3 linked regions of the Xenopus tropicalis genome follow. The protein of the gene in region 1 binds, or shares a complex with, the protein of each later gene. Links are inferred from orthologs where the notes say so. Each region holds a gene or a part of one and is shown in the gene's direction. Other genes may lie near its edges.

Region 1 (3,500 bases):
CTGGCTCAATCTTATAGAACCAGATCATGCCATTAAATGGGACCGATCCATGTGTGTAAAGAACAGCACTGGAGTGGAAATTAAGCGGATTATGGCTAAAGCATTCAAAAGCCCACTTTCCTCTCCTCAGCAAACTCAGGTAAAGAGTAATAAAGTACACAGTATTACCATGATAATATACACCAGATGAGTTAAACTAAGATTACGATTAACCAGTTTTTTTTTCTTCTTATATTCCTTTTGCTAGCTTCTTGGAGAATTAGAAAAAGACCCTAAGTTAGTTTACCACATTGGCCTCACTCCTGCCAAGCTCCCAGATTTGGTAGAAAATAATCCGTTGGTTGCTATTGAAATGCTGCTCAAGTTAATGCAATCAAGTCAAATAACAGAATATTTCTCTGTGCTTGTCAACATGGATATGTCTTTACATTCAATGGAAGTTGTAAATAGGTGAGTCTTTGTTTATTTCTTTTTCTAATAAAATATTTTGCAGGCACAGAACATGGTGAATTGAATATAGTAAGCCTCCAAGGAAATCTGCAAAAAAAACCAATAAACCGAGGGGGCAGATTTTTTAGAGGCTGGACACAAAAACACCTGCTTCTTATCACCAGAAGGGGGCATAAAATATATTTTTTTCACAATACAGTACTTTTTAAAGCATTTTCTTAAAAGATGCAAAACCATTTTTATAAAGTAAGATTTCCCATATATGTACACTTTTTTTGGTTCAAAGAATAGAATGAAATGTACCTGCTTAAAGCTAAATTATTTTATTAGCAGAGATGATTAAGAAAGGTAAATAACCAAGATTGTTAATAAGTATGAGACTTTGTCAGCCTCTGTTAAATCTGCCACTCACTGAACCATTAAGGGCTCTGGCACACGGGGAGATTAGTCGCCCGCAACAAAACTCCCTGTTCACGGGCAACTAATCTCCCCGGATTGCCATCCCACTGGCGAAAATGTAAATCGCCAGTGGGATGGCATACGCAGCGGCGCAAGTTGCTTCGAGAGGAAACATGTGCAATTTCAGTGAAATTGCGCCGCCGTGTATACCATCCCACCGGCGATTTACATTTTCGCCGGTGGGATGGCATTTCGGGGAGGTTAGTCGCCCAAGACACGGGAGATTTGTCGCGGGCGACTAATCTCCCCGTGTGCCAGAGCCCTAAGAAGTCATTCATGTTCATTTACATCTGCTGACAAATATACTGACCTGCAACTCTGAATTAATTTTTTCTTTTGTTGCTTGGTTCATTATAAATTCATTAACTAATGCACATTGAGCATGGGATTCCACACCAATTTATGATATCAAAGGTGTGTTGCTTTCTATATATTTTACTCCTGCTGTGTTTCGTTTTGTCTTAATGCTTTCACCTCAATTCTTAAGCTGGCCTCACACGTGGCGATTTTCGATCCAACCCTCCACTGACGTTCAGCGCTGAATCGTCAGATATGGAGGTAGAAACAATAGGATTTCTACCTCCAGCCCTGAACATAGATTTTGCTCGGGCACAAAATCTTTTAACCCACCTGATCGGCAAGTCGTCCAATATCTGCAGCTTTTTTGCAATATCGGTTGCCTTGTTGAGTTGCCATACATGCACCGAATATCGTACGAAACGAGGTTTCGTACAATATTATCGGTGCGTGTATGCCCAGCGTTAGACAGGATTGCTTTTCCTGATCTCATAGGCCTAGTTCTGATACTTTATAACCTAAATGTGCACCACAGAATTAAGTGCCGTAAGCTTGTTGGGTGGTTTTTCTTTTGCATTATATCTGCTTTTACACTCTACTTTGTGTATACATTTTATTCAAACCAGCCTTTTTAGCTGTGTTTAGTAAAACAAAGAATGTGCATGGGTGCCATAAATTGAAAGTAAAGTTTTGTGTAAATACAATCAAATAAAAACATTTACCAGGGCCCCTTAAATGTATGCTGGTTAGAGTTCATGGACAAAGTTAAATACCAAGTATAAAGTGCATGCTGCTGCTGTATAACAGTATGGTTCAGTGTATATGTAAAAATGTAAATACCTTAATGAAGTATAAATATTTAATATCTAAATCATGTTGTCATTGCTTAAATTTTTTTACAGTGCAATTTAAGATTGAAATGTATTTTGTTGCTATTATTGTTGTGTATCCCAACGCTGTTTAGCTTTAGTGTACCCAGAACTTGAGCTTCTAGTGCGGCCAATCTCCTTTTTCTTGTACTTTCTACCTTGAGGTGGCACACAATACAGTACTCTACGATGAGTAGGGAGACCTGCGGAGAAACCCATGAGTTAAATAGTAGGGAAGCAGCCTATCATCTATATGGTCTTGTTCCTTAATCTGTTTTGTTTTTTATAAACTGTTTTTCTTCTTTTAAGACTTACAACAGCAGTGGATCTTCCTCCTGAGTTCATTCACCTTTACATTTCAAATTGTATATCCACATGTGAGCAGATTAAGGACAAGTATATGCAGGTAAGAAACATGCAAAACATGATACTATCCATTCAGTTAAAGGCTATTTGATTTCTTATCCAGAAGATGGAAAGACAGTTTAGTGCTTTTTTAATGGTGACTAGCGCTTTGAAAAGTCCCAGCAGGCATAGCTCAGGGGTGAGTACTGGGAATGGTTTTGCTGCAAGGGATGTCATCCTCTCCATTAAAAAGCGATTAGATTAAAACTCTCATAATAAATGGAAAATGGAGATATCCAGCTATGGATATATTTACTAGCCTGATTTTTATGATGTAATCTGGGACACTCTTTCATTAACCACATCAATTTGCCCCTGCATGCACCATGAGTGGGCTCCAATTGGGGGGTGCAGCACATGATTCGGGACATTCCTAATAAATTCTATTGTTTTCCCCGTTTTTGTGATAGATTTTTAATGGTGTACTTCCTGGCATAGTCAAAAGAAAAAAATAGCAATAGGGCCTGTGATGTTGCCCATAGAAACCAATCAGATCTTTTCTGTTGTTTTCTAACTTGTAGGTGACTGTCTAATTGGCTGGTTTGTCTCTGTTAATAAAAATGCCCCCAAATGTAAAGAAATAGGGGCTCACATATCAAATTTTACAAGATTCCTGTACGTTTTAATAGAGGCTTGAATTGATAGGGCAGTTCAAAAGAACCTTTAGATATTGTTTAATCTCCTAGGATTAGTTATTCTAAACCAGCCAAAACAACAGCTGTTTGTGTCAAATGTCACTAAAGGCTACTGGCAGTGATTTTTTTGTTCATATATATATATTTATTGATCCGTATTTTCTGTATTGTACTTTTGTTTAGACACTTAACGTTAAAACATTAATCACATCCTGCTTTTCTTTGCATTATGACTAAAGGTCTTATGTGTTAGTTAAAGTATGAATTGCCCTGTATGCCAGGTGCTCCAGTAGTTTTGCATAGCTACTAAAACTTATAAAAAAAGAGGCAAACAGTTTATTTGCAGAGAATTAAAAATGAGTCCTTTGTAAAGGGAATTGGTCAT
Region 2 (4,268 bases), on another chromosome or scaffold:
TCTACTTGTCAGCTACGTCAACCTGACCTAGGATTGCTGCCTGTCTGGTTATTTGAATTTGAAAATTCAGACAGGACTCAGAAAAAAATGACGCTGTGTTCAGACAATCATCCCCATCTGGACTTATCATATTGAAAAGGCAGCAACTTTAACCAGGCCCTAGCTGCGGCCAGGGGGGACATTTTGTAACGCTCTCTGTAACGTTGCTGCACATGCACGAGTGCTCTTTTAAAGTTGCTAAATGCTGACTGTTTGCACATAATTTGCCAGAGAACCTGTAAAACCCAGGGGTAAAAGGTAAATTCCAACAAAATTGGGGGAGTTGAGAGTTATGCTTTTTAGGGTGAAGACACACTGAGCTACTAGTAGCAGCTTCTTTTTTGCACTACTAAACCCGAAAATCCCCTGCCATAGACAATACTGAGAATTGCCTCTGCTAAAACACACGTAGAGACAGTTATCAGTAAATGATCAGCACTGTCTATTTTAGTAGCCACGACAAGTAGCTGCTACTAGTAGCTCTGTGTGTCTTCACCCATATGAGGAGGGTTTATAACGTGGAGCCTGTGGGACTTCAAAATCTTCATTTTTGCATCTGGATTCAGAATGCAATGTAATGTAAATGTATAGAATTTTTACATTTTCCTTGTGCTTCTATATGGAAATAAGGGTTTGAAGCAATATCATGATAATGCAATATTTATAATTTTGAGATTCTACTCTCAAATATTATATTCAAATTCATACTTTAAAACTAAGTTTGGTTACTACAGTTAGAGTTATTACTACATACCAGGCTACTAGAAAGGAAATTGTGAAGGTAATTGCATTATTAATTGCTTTACTTCCACTTTCACCCCTAGGATCTCAGTAGTGTCAGTTTATACGCGTTTTGCACGTTTTCAATGCGTGATTAGTATACGGGTATAAATATACGTGTACATAACAAATTTCTTAACCAACAATTTTAAATTATATTATATCATATTTTATCATATGTTGACCAATACTGAATGTATAAGTTTTCAACGGCTGTTATTATTTGTACTGCAGATTATTTTTCTGCATAATGTAAATATTAATGTTTGAAAATATTTTAATGCCTTTATTTGGCTATAATGTTTAAAAAATCCCAATAAAAATGATTGAAACTACTTCCACTTTCGTCTTATTTACTTTTTGAGCTTATGTGCAACTTTTTTCTAGAATATAAATATCCTCCCCTTCAACACAATCCAATAACACAAATGGCATTTGAATACATAGTTCATAGTAATGCCTCACGAATTCTGCAAATCCAGTGCTGCGGCATAGCCTTCACGCATGCCCATTAGAGTCATTCAGTTTCCTTTCAACTGCGCATGCTCCGGGCCTACCTCGCTTGCTCGACTTCCTGGGTTCGGAACGCGTTTTTGATTGGCTTTTCGATCCTGACCATAGAGAGCAGTGGCTAGAGCGCCCGCCGAGTCAGCCATTGAACGTTACCGTAGAGTACGCACAAGTAGGAGATATACGTTCGTGCTGCCCTCTGCTTCGGGTCGGAGCCCGGGAGGTGAGATTGATCAGAAAGCCGGCTAAGGGGAGTTTTGTTTTTTAAATGCATCTGCTACGAACAGTACCCGGCAAGCGTCTCTCAAACCGTTTCCAGCCAATGTGCTGGAGACCTGCAGGATGGACATTTAAGATTTATTTCTAATATACGCTAGCCATCGGTAGCCTGTAGGCAACATCCTTATAAACCGCGTTTAATAATGTCATTACTTATAATCTGTGCTTAGTTCTTTAATTTGTGGAATGACTTACTGAAACTTGTGTCTTAGTCAGAATAGTTTATACTAGGTTGTAAGATATAAGGATATTAGGAGTCACAGTAAAGTTCCATAGACATATAAAGGAGCAATTGGCATATAACTCCTCCTTGGCTTCTAATATACTTATATTTTGCAACAGTAGGTGCATCATTTCCTATATTGTTAACAGGGAAATCTTACCACAAGGGAAGGGGGGTAGATAAATGTACAATGAATTTAAGAAATACTGTATTATTAAATGACAAAGCCAATGTTAATATATGTTTAATATATAGTGTGAAGGAAAAAAATGGCTCTTGTGTACTGTTACATGGGAGCCATACATATCCTGTAAATGATATCCTTATAAATGCTGCTTGGCAATTTAATTTCTGCCACATGGTTGCCAAAACTTGTGTCTTATAATTAAATACTTCTGTTGTAAAAAAGAAGGATATTAGAGGTCATCCCAGAGTAAAATGGCCTGTATAAAAGGACTTGGCCTTCGACCTCATGCTTTAATATAATTACATTTCTCAGTGACTTATAATATCCTTATATTTTACAATAGGGGGTACAATATTCATTATACACCATCTTCTGCAGTGAGATTATACATCATTCCCTGCCCCAGGGTACTTTCACATTCACATACAACGGTTTTCATTAGGGGCCAATTAACCTGCCTGTAGTTTTATTGCGGTGTGGAAGGAAACCACTGTAAGCATAAGGCAGTGCTGTGTCCATAAATGAACCAAGGACCTCAGGGCTGCAAGACAAAAGTGCTAACCACTGCAACAAAAATGTCCCAAGTTGTGTATTAGAACCAAAGGTAAGGTAAAAGTCAGTGGGGACCAATTAGCTAGTCACACCCAGTGAATACAATAGGTTACTTTTTACACCAGTCCGGCATTTCTCTATTGTAAAAAATGTTCTGGACTGCAGCCCCCCTACAACCAAGTTTTGAGCTTCTTAGTGAATTGTAGTAATCTGCGATCTAAACGACTGAGGCTTTTTTCTGTTGCTGATCTAAAGGGGTTAAACAAGGATGTCCTAATTGTGGCTGATCAGCCAAATTACTACTTAAAAGATGCTGGAGTTCTGCTTTGGCCAACTGACTGATTAAACTAAATATTTTATTGCATTAACTCCACACACCCTAACCATTGTGAAGTTGAAAAATGGACCAAATGGGATGAATAATCTATGTGCCCAGGCAGCTAACTCACCTGATGGATATGTAATATACTTATAGTGGTGTAGCAGTTTCATGAACTGTATTACTATAAATACTGCCAGGTGTTAGAATACTAATATACAAGGCAAGGCAAATGGTGGCAGGAGAACATTTCCCTGTATTCACCATCCGCAAGGCTAACAGGGTAGTGTTTCCCAGTGTTGCCTTTCCCTTACCTATAATTGTTTAATATGTCTTTTGATTGCAAATTCTTAATATGTTTGGGTTTCTGCAAGTTAACCTTAAAGTATATATTTTAAAATTTTTAGGTAAGAGACATCACCTCTGTCTGGGGAAAACACTGCTTGATTTTCTGTCTGTACCACACATCTCACTGGCCACCTTTCTGAATTCAAGATGCCTGCAGCAGTGGTAGATAATAGCCAAGTGATATGTGAGGTGTGGGCTGTCAACTTGGAGGAGGAGATGCATAAAATTAGAGAGCTTGTTCGCACTTATGGCTACATAGCAATGGTAAGTCTACATTAAACTGACACTTTGTCTGCGTGGGTATATTATTATATTACCCCCTTATCCCAGTTGCAATTGAGATGTATAGGGTTTTGGCTTTTGACAGGCCTATTGGGATTCATCAGGATTGCTGGTTGACTCTGACTAAAGGTGCCCATACACGTGAAGATTTGCTCGCTTGGCGATGTCGCCAAGCAAGCGGATCTTCACCTGATATCCCCACCTACGGGGGGGGAGATATCGGGGAACATGTAGGCTAATTTGATCCCTGGGGCCAAATGATTGAATTATAATGGCGGTCCCCGGTCCGACTAAATCTTTTAACCTGCCCGACCGTTGTTTCTGCCCCTACATGGCCTACAGTCGGGCCGTGTATGTGGACCTTCACTCTTTTTTGTGCACAAGTAGTGTCTGTGATCATAAGCCTTAAGTCTGTTTTAAGTATAAGTAGGGCTTGTGTCAAAAATGCATTGTGCACATTCCTTTAATACAAAAATATAATCAAGAGAGTTATAGAGATATAAAGGAAAATAACAACATATGTATAATTTAACCCCACCCTATCCCACAATGCTGCCTATGTAATATGCTAAGAGAAGGAGTTTGTTCTCTATACAGGAGTTTAACTGGTACAGGTGGTAACTACCCCTTTCCACAGCTGCTCTGAAGATCTTAGTAGGTAGGATCGAGTGTAAAGGTCAATGTGCCACAATGTATTTAGAGCCCTATTTATTGGATTTATATTGAACTTGGGTACATTTGTAAGCTTA
Region 3 (4,286 bases), on another chromosome or scaffold:
TCATAAGTGTACCTTATTAACCTTCCCCTTAGTTCATAAGTGTACCTTATTAACCTTCCCCTTAGTTCATAAGTGTACCTTATTAACCTTCCCCCCCACTTCATAAGTGTACCTTATTAACATTCCCCCCCACTTCATAAGTGTACCTTTTTAACATTCCCCCCACTTCATAAGTGTACCTTATTAACATTCCCCCCACTTCACAAGTGTACCTTATTAACCTTCCCCTTACTTCATAAGTGTACCTTATTATCATTCCCCCCCACTTCATAAGTGTACCTTATTAACATTCCCCCCCACTTCATAAGTGTACCTTATTAACATTCCCCCCCCACTTCATAAGTGTACCTTATTAACATTCCCCCCCCACTTCATAAGTGTACCTTATTAACATTCCCCCCACTTCATAAGTGTACCTTATTAACCTTCCCCCCCCACTTCATAAGTGTACCTTATTAACCTTCCCCCCCACTTCATAAGTGTACCTTATTAACCTTCCCCCCCACTTCATAAGTGTACCTTATTAACATTCCCCCCACTTCATAAGTGTACCTTATTAACATTCCCCCCCACTTCATAAGTGTACCTTATTAACATTCCCCCCCACTTCATAAGTGTACCTTATTAACATTCCCCCCCCACTTCATAAGTGTACCTTATTAACATTCCCCCCCCACTTCATAAGTGTACCTTATTAACCTTCCCCCCCCACTTCATAAGTGTACCTTATTAACCTTCCCCCCCACTTCATAAGTGTACCTTATTAACCTTCCCCCCCCACTTCATAAGTGTACCTTATTAACCTTCCCCTTACTTCATAAGTGTACCTTATTAACATTCCCCCCCACTTCATAAGTGTACCTTATTAACATTCCCCCCACTTCATAAGTGTACCTTATTAACATTCCCCCCACTTCATAAGTGTACCTTATTAACATTCCCCCCCACTTCATAAGTGTACCTTATTAACATTCCCCCCCACTTCATAAGTGTACCTTATTAACCTTCCCCCCCCACTTCATAAGTGTACCTTATTAACATTCCCCCCCACTTCATAAGTGTACCTTATTAACATTCCCCCCCACTTCATAAGTGTACCTTATTAACACCCCCCCAATTTCTAAGTGTACCTTATTAACCTTCAACCCTCACTCAGATAACATTAAATAAAACCGCAAGATACAGTCGGCTGTCACTTCCTCTTACACCCCCAGTTGTCCCTTGCCGTGCTACACAACATGTATGTAACCTTCCCTACGCACCATGATATCTGAGAGAAGCCATACACGCAGTTGTCACATACCTGCACACACATACTAGATAGACAGTTGTGTGTTTATCCCATCAAGCACAATCCCAGTTGCCACTTACTTTCACTCTCCATGGGTCGCGCCGTATGACGCACAGCCTGTGACATCATGTCACCTACCAGCTTGAGAAGGGGATGGTTTTCCACGCCTTTGTGGCGGCTTGACGTCATCCAAGTGCGTCCGGGAGGAGGTTAGCAGGAACCTGCCGTGGGACTGGCGCGTCGCTCGCATGACGTGTAGGGGCCTCGGTAATCTCCTGTGCGAGCCCTGGGAGCGCGGTCGTGAAGTGACAGACCGGCAGCGGCCAGACTTATCTTAGGTAGGGCAGGGATAGTGTCGGGCTGTGAGCCTTACAGAACGGATACGGAGCAGTGGGATGGCACACACACACACACTGGGCACAACCAGAGGCGGCTGTATTGTCTGTCACAAGCATCAGTAGGCATTGGTGCTTAGCGCACATACCGTGACTATGGGCCAGTATCCAGTCGGGGAGCCTCCAGCTCGTTCAATCACAAGGGACGCAGAAGGGATACTTGCACCTGAACAGCTTTTATTGGCAGCTGTGTGGCGAACCCCTAGCTCGTAAACTACATTACCCAGCATCCTTCATCAGCCAAAGGATACGCTTCAGCAACAAGTGCAGCTGGACATCTTCCTGTCTACCCCGCAAGACAGTTCAGGGAGACCTGCTTCTCCCCATTCATTTCTGGCTTTTATTAAAGGGGCAGTATACCCCCTTGTTCATTATGATTGCAATGAATAGAACTTGTGCTGATCATACTTTTTGTCTGTTTTAATCAGGAAACATTTATTGTTTTTGATGTTTTCTGTGCTAAACAGTCAACTGAAGCTCATGCATGTTTTGTGAGGCAGATCATTATCAGTGCACAAAGGAAATCCTGCCAACCTGTAAGCCAAACTAGACATAACAAAGGGTGATGGGATGAGGGTTGTTTATACAGAGCTCAGTATATCTAGATAAACTAACTCATCTAATTAATGGTAAGAGAGTAAGCATAGGAGAAAACAAATGCTTCATTTCTGATTTATTATAATGTTATCACTAAGAAATATGCAATTTTTTCAGTTGATATGTTCAATGATATGCTGTATTATTTGCATATGTTCTATTTATTTTGCTAATGTTGTATATTGGCATATACTGCCCCTTTAACACATGATCTGCATAAAACATGGTCTGCATCCAGGGTGGCACCTAGAGATTCTTATGTATAGAACTCTGGTATGGTCACTTTCCAAGAGTTGTAATAATACTGCTAGCCTACATTATTACTACCCAGTTGAAGCCTAACAGTACCAGCTGTGTTCATTATCTCTGCTTAGTGATGGGCCAGAAAGCTCAGATTGCTGGGCCTTGCTGTATAGAGCACTAAGGCAAAATAGAATTATGCTACTCCCTAAAGAAGCCACAGTGTTGACTTAAAAGATGGCTTTACAACTATTACCATGGGTAGAGAGAAGAAATATTCTATTTATACACTTTTGTGCTTCAACCACAACTTCCCCTAACTCATATTAACAATGGATCACCATATATGGGCAAAATACAAAAATCAATTTTTGGGTAATGTCATGGACCAAACACACTCCATAGTCAGAGGATCCCCATTCCTAATATAAAATGTATTGCACAAAGTGCATATTGTTCAAAAGGTGGTGGCATGCACATGGGCCACCTTTCCCCTTTCTTGGCATTTCCTGATATGTTCTGCCTGCTAGTATTATACCGGTATATTATTTTTTATTTGTTAGTAAAATAAAAACTATTCTTCTTTTAATTTTAGATTTAGCAGCTGATTTCGGCCTCGGCCTACCACCTATGAAACCCTTTAATAGCTAATTGCAAAATTTTGATGCCTGCCTCTGAGTCAGTCCCCCAGACCCACTATGCCAGCTGCAACAGTGGACCTCAGCCAGCGAATTTGCGAAGTCTGGGCTTGCAACCTGGATGATCAAATGAAGAGAATCCGCCAAGTTATACGCAAGTATAATTATGTTGCAATGGTATGTTTAGGATGTTTGTTTCCCCTCCAAAAATGTTTTTCATTTTTGAAATTGGCATTAAGAGTTCAGGAATATTTAAGATTTTATAGATTTTTGAGTCTCCTCAAAGGGGAACCTATTTACTGTTTATAAGCAATCCTTGCTTGCAGTATCTGCCACACTGCTTCCGCTGTCAGGGTAATATTATATCAACTATAGACTCTAATGGCCCAATGTTTCGTGTGACATAACAATAATAGAATAATTAATTTACTTTAATATGCAATATAAGTACTTGTTTACATTAAAATATTAATATTTTTTTTGTCCAGTACAATGGGTTCGGTTTATATTGCAGTTATAATTTTTCTAGTGTGTAGAAACAAGTCAGGCTGCTTACTGCACTTATTTGTTAAAGATATTTCTAAGTAGAACTAAAGCCTAAAAAAAAAGAATATGGCTAGAAATGCTGTATTTTCTATTCTAAGCTAATTGTAGCAGCTTTATGATAGTAAAGATCCATGGGCTCAACTGCTAAAGGTGTATGGTGGCCATGGTCTGGTAAGGTGCCTGCCATTGGGTAGGCTAGGTAGCAACTAAAACTCTTAGAATAGTGGCACACGGTGCTGTTTCAGGGACTTTGATTAACATATTTTTAAAGGAGAACTTTACTTCCGGATGGCACTCTTTGCCTAGACCCCCCCCCCACCTCTCCCATATCGCATTGTTTTCAAGTTTACACTCTGTCCCTATTGCTGACTGCTAGCTAAAAATGCAGACAAGCGCAACCGCGTACCTCGCCAACATCTTACCGACTGAAGACTCTTTGGGTCTCACAGCCGACACCTAACCTGCTTGAGAATGCGCAGTTGAAGCAGATTTCCTGCTACCTACAACTACTCATGCGCAAGCAGGTTCGTATCGGCGGTGAGACCCAAAGTGTCTTCAGTTGGTAAGAAAATGTCGGCC

Evidence for each region. Proteins that work in one complex are often made in the same cells at the same time.
Region 2: cnot11 (region 1) and cnot8 share a complex: the UniProt entries of both Homo sapiens proteins name them as parts of the CCR4-NOT complex. The link is inferred for Xenopus tropicalis from reciprocal best matches to the Homo sapiens genes CNOT11 and CNOT8.
Region 3: cnot11 (region 1) and cnot7 share a complex: the UniProt entries of both Homo sapiens proteins name them as parts of the CCR4-NOT complex. The link is inferred for Xenopus tropicalis from reciprocal best matches to the Homo sapiens genes CNOT11 and CNOT7.

Annotation. Positions count from the first base shown.
Region 1 is NC_030678.2:110,384,930-110,388,429, forward strand, and holds part of cnot11 (CCR4-NOT transcription complex subunit 11), read left to right. Parts: coding exon 1-139; intron 140-247; coding exon 248-450; intron 451-2,384; coding exon 2,385-2,481; intron 2,482-3,500. UniProt on the Homo sapiens protein: Component of the CCR4-NOT complex which is one of the major cellular mRNA deadenylases and is linked to various cellular processes including bulk mRNA degradation, miRNA-mediated repression, translational repression during translational initiation and general transcription regulation.
Region 2 is NC_030679.2:19,855,449-19,859,716, forward strand, and holds the start of cnot8 (CCR4-NOT transcription complex subunit 8), read left to right. Parts: upstream 1-1,468; 5' UTR 1,469-1,552; intron 1,553-1,695; exon of another isoform or gene 1,696-1,719; intron 1,720-3,296; 5' UTR 3,297-3,384; coding exon 3,385-3,501; intron 3,502-4,268. UniProt on the Homo sapiens protein: Has 3'-5' poly(A) exoribonuclease activity for synthetic poly(A) RNA substrate. Its function seems to be partially redundant with that of CNOT7.
Region 3 is NC_030677.2:42,300,004-42,304,289, reverse strand, and holds the start of cnot7 (CCR4-NOT transcription complex subunit 7), read left to right. Parts: upstream 1-1,486; 5' UTR 1,487-1,629; intron 1,630-1,636; exon of another isoform or gene 1,637-2,315; intron 2,316-3,118; 5' UTR 3,119-3,221; coding exon 3,222-3,338; intron 3,339-4,286. UniProt on the Homo sapiens protein: Has 3'-5' poly(A) exoribonuclease activity for synthetic poly(A) RNA substrate. Its function seems to be partially redundant with that of CNOT8.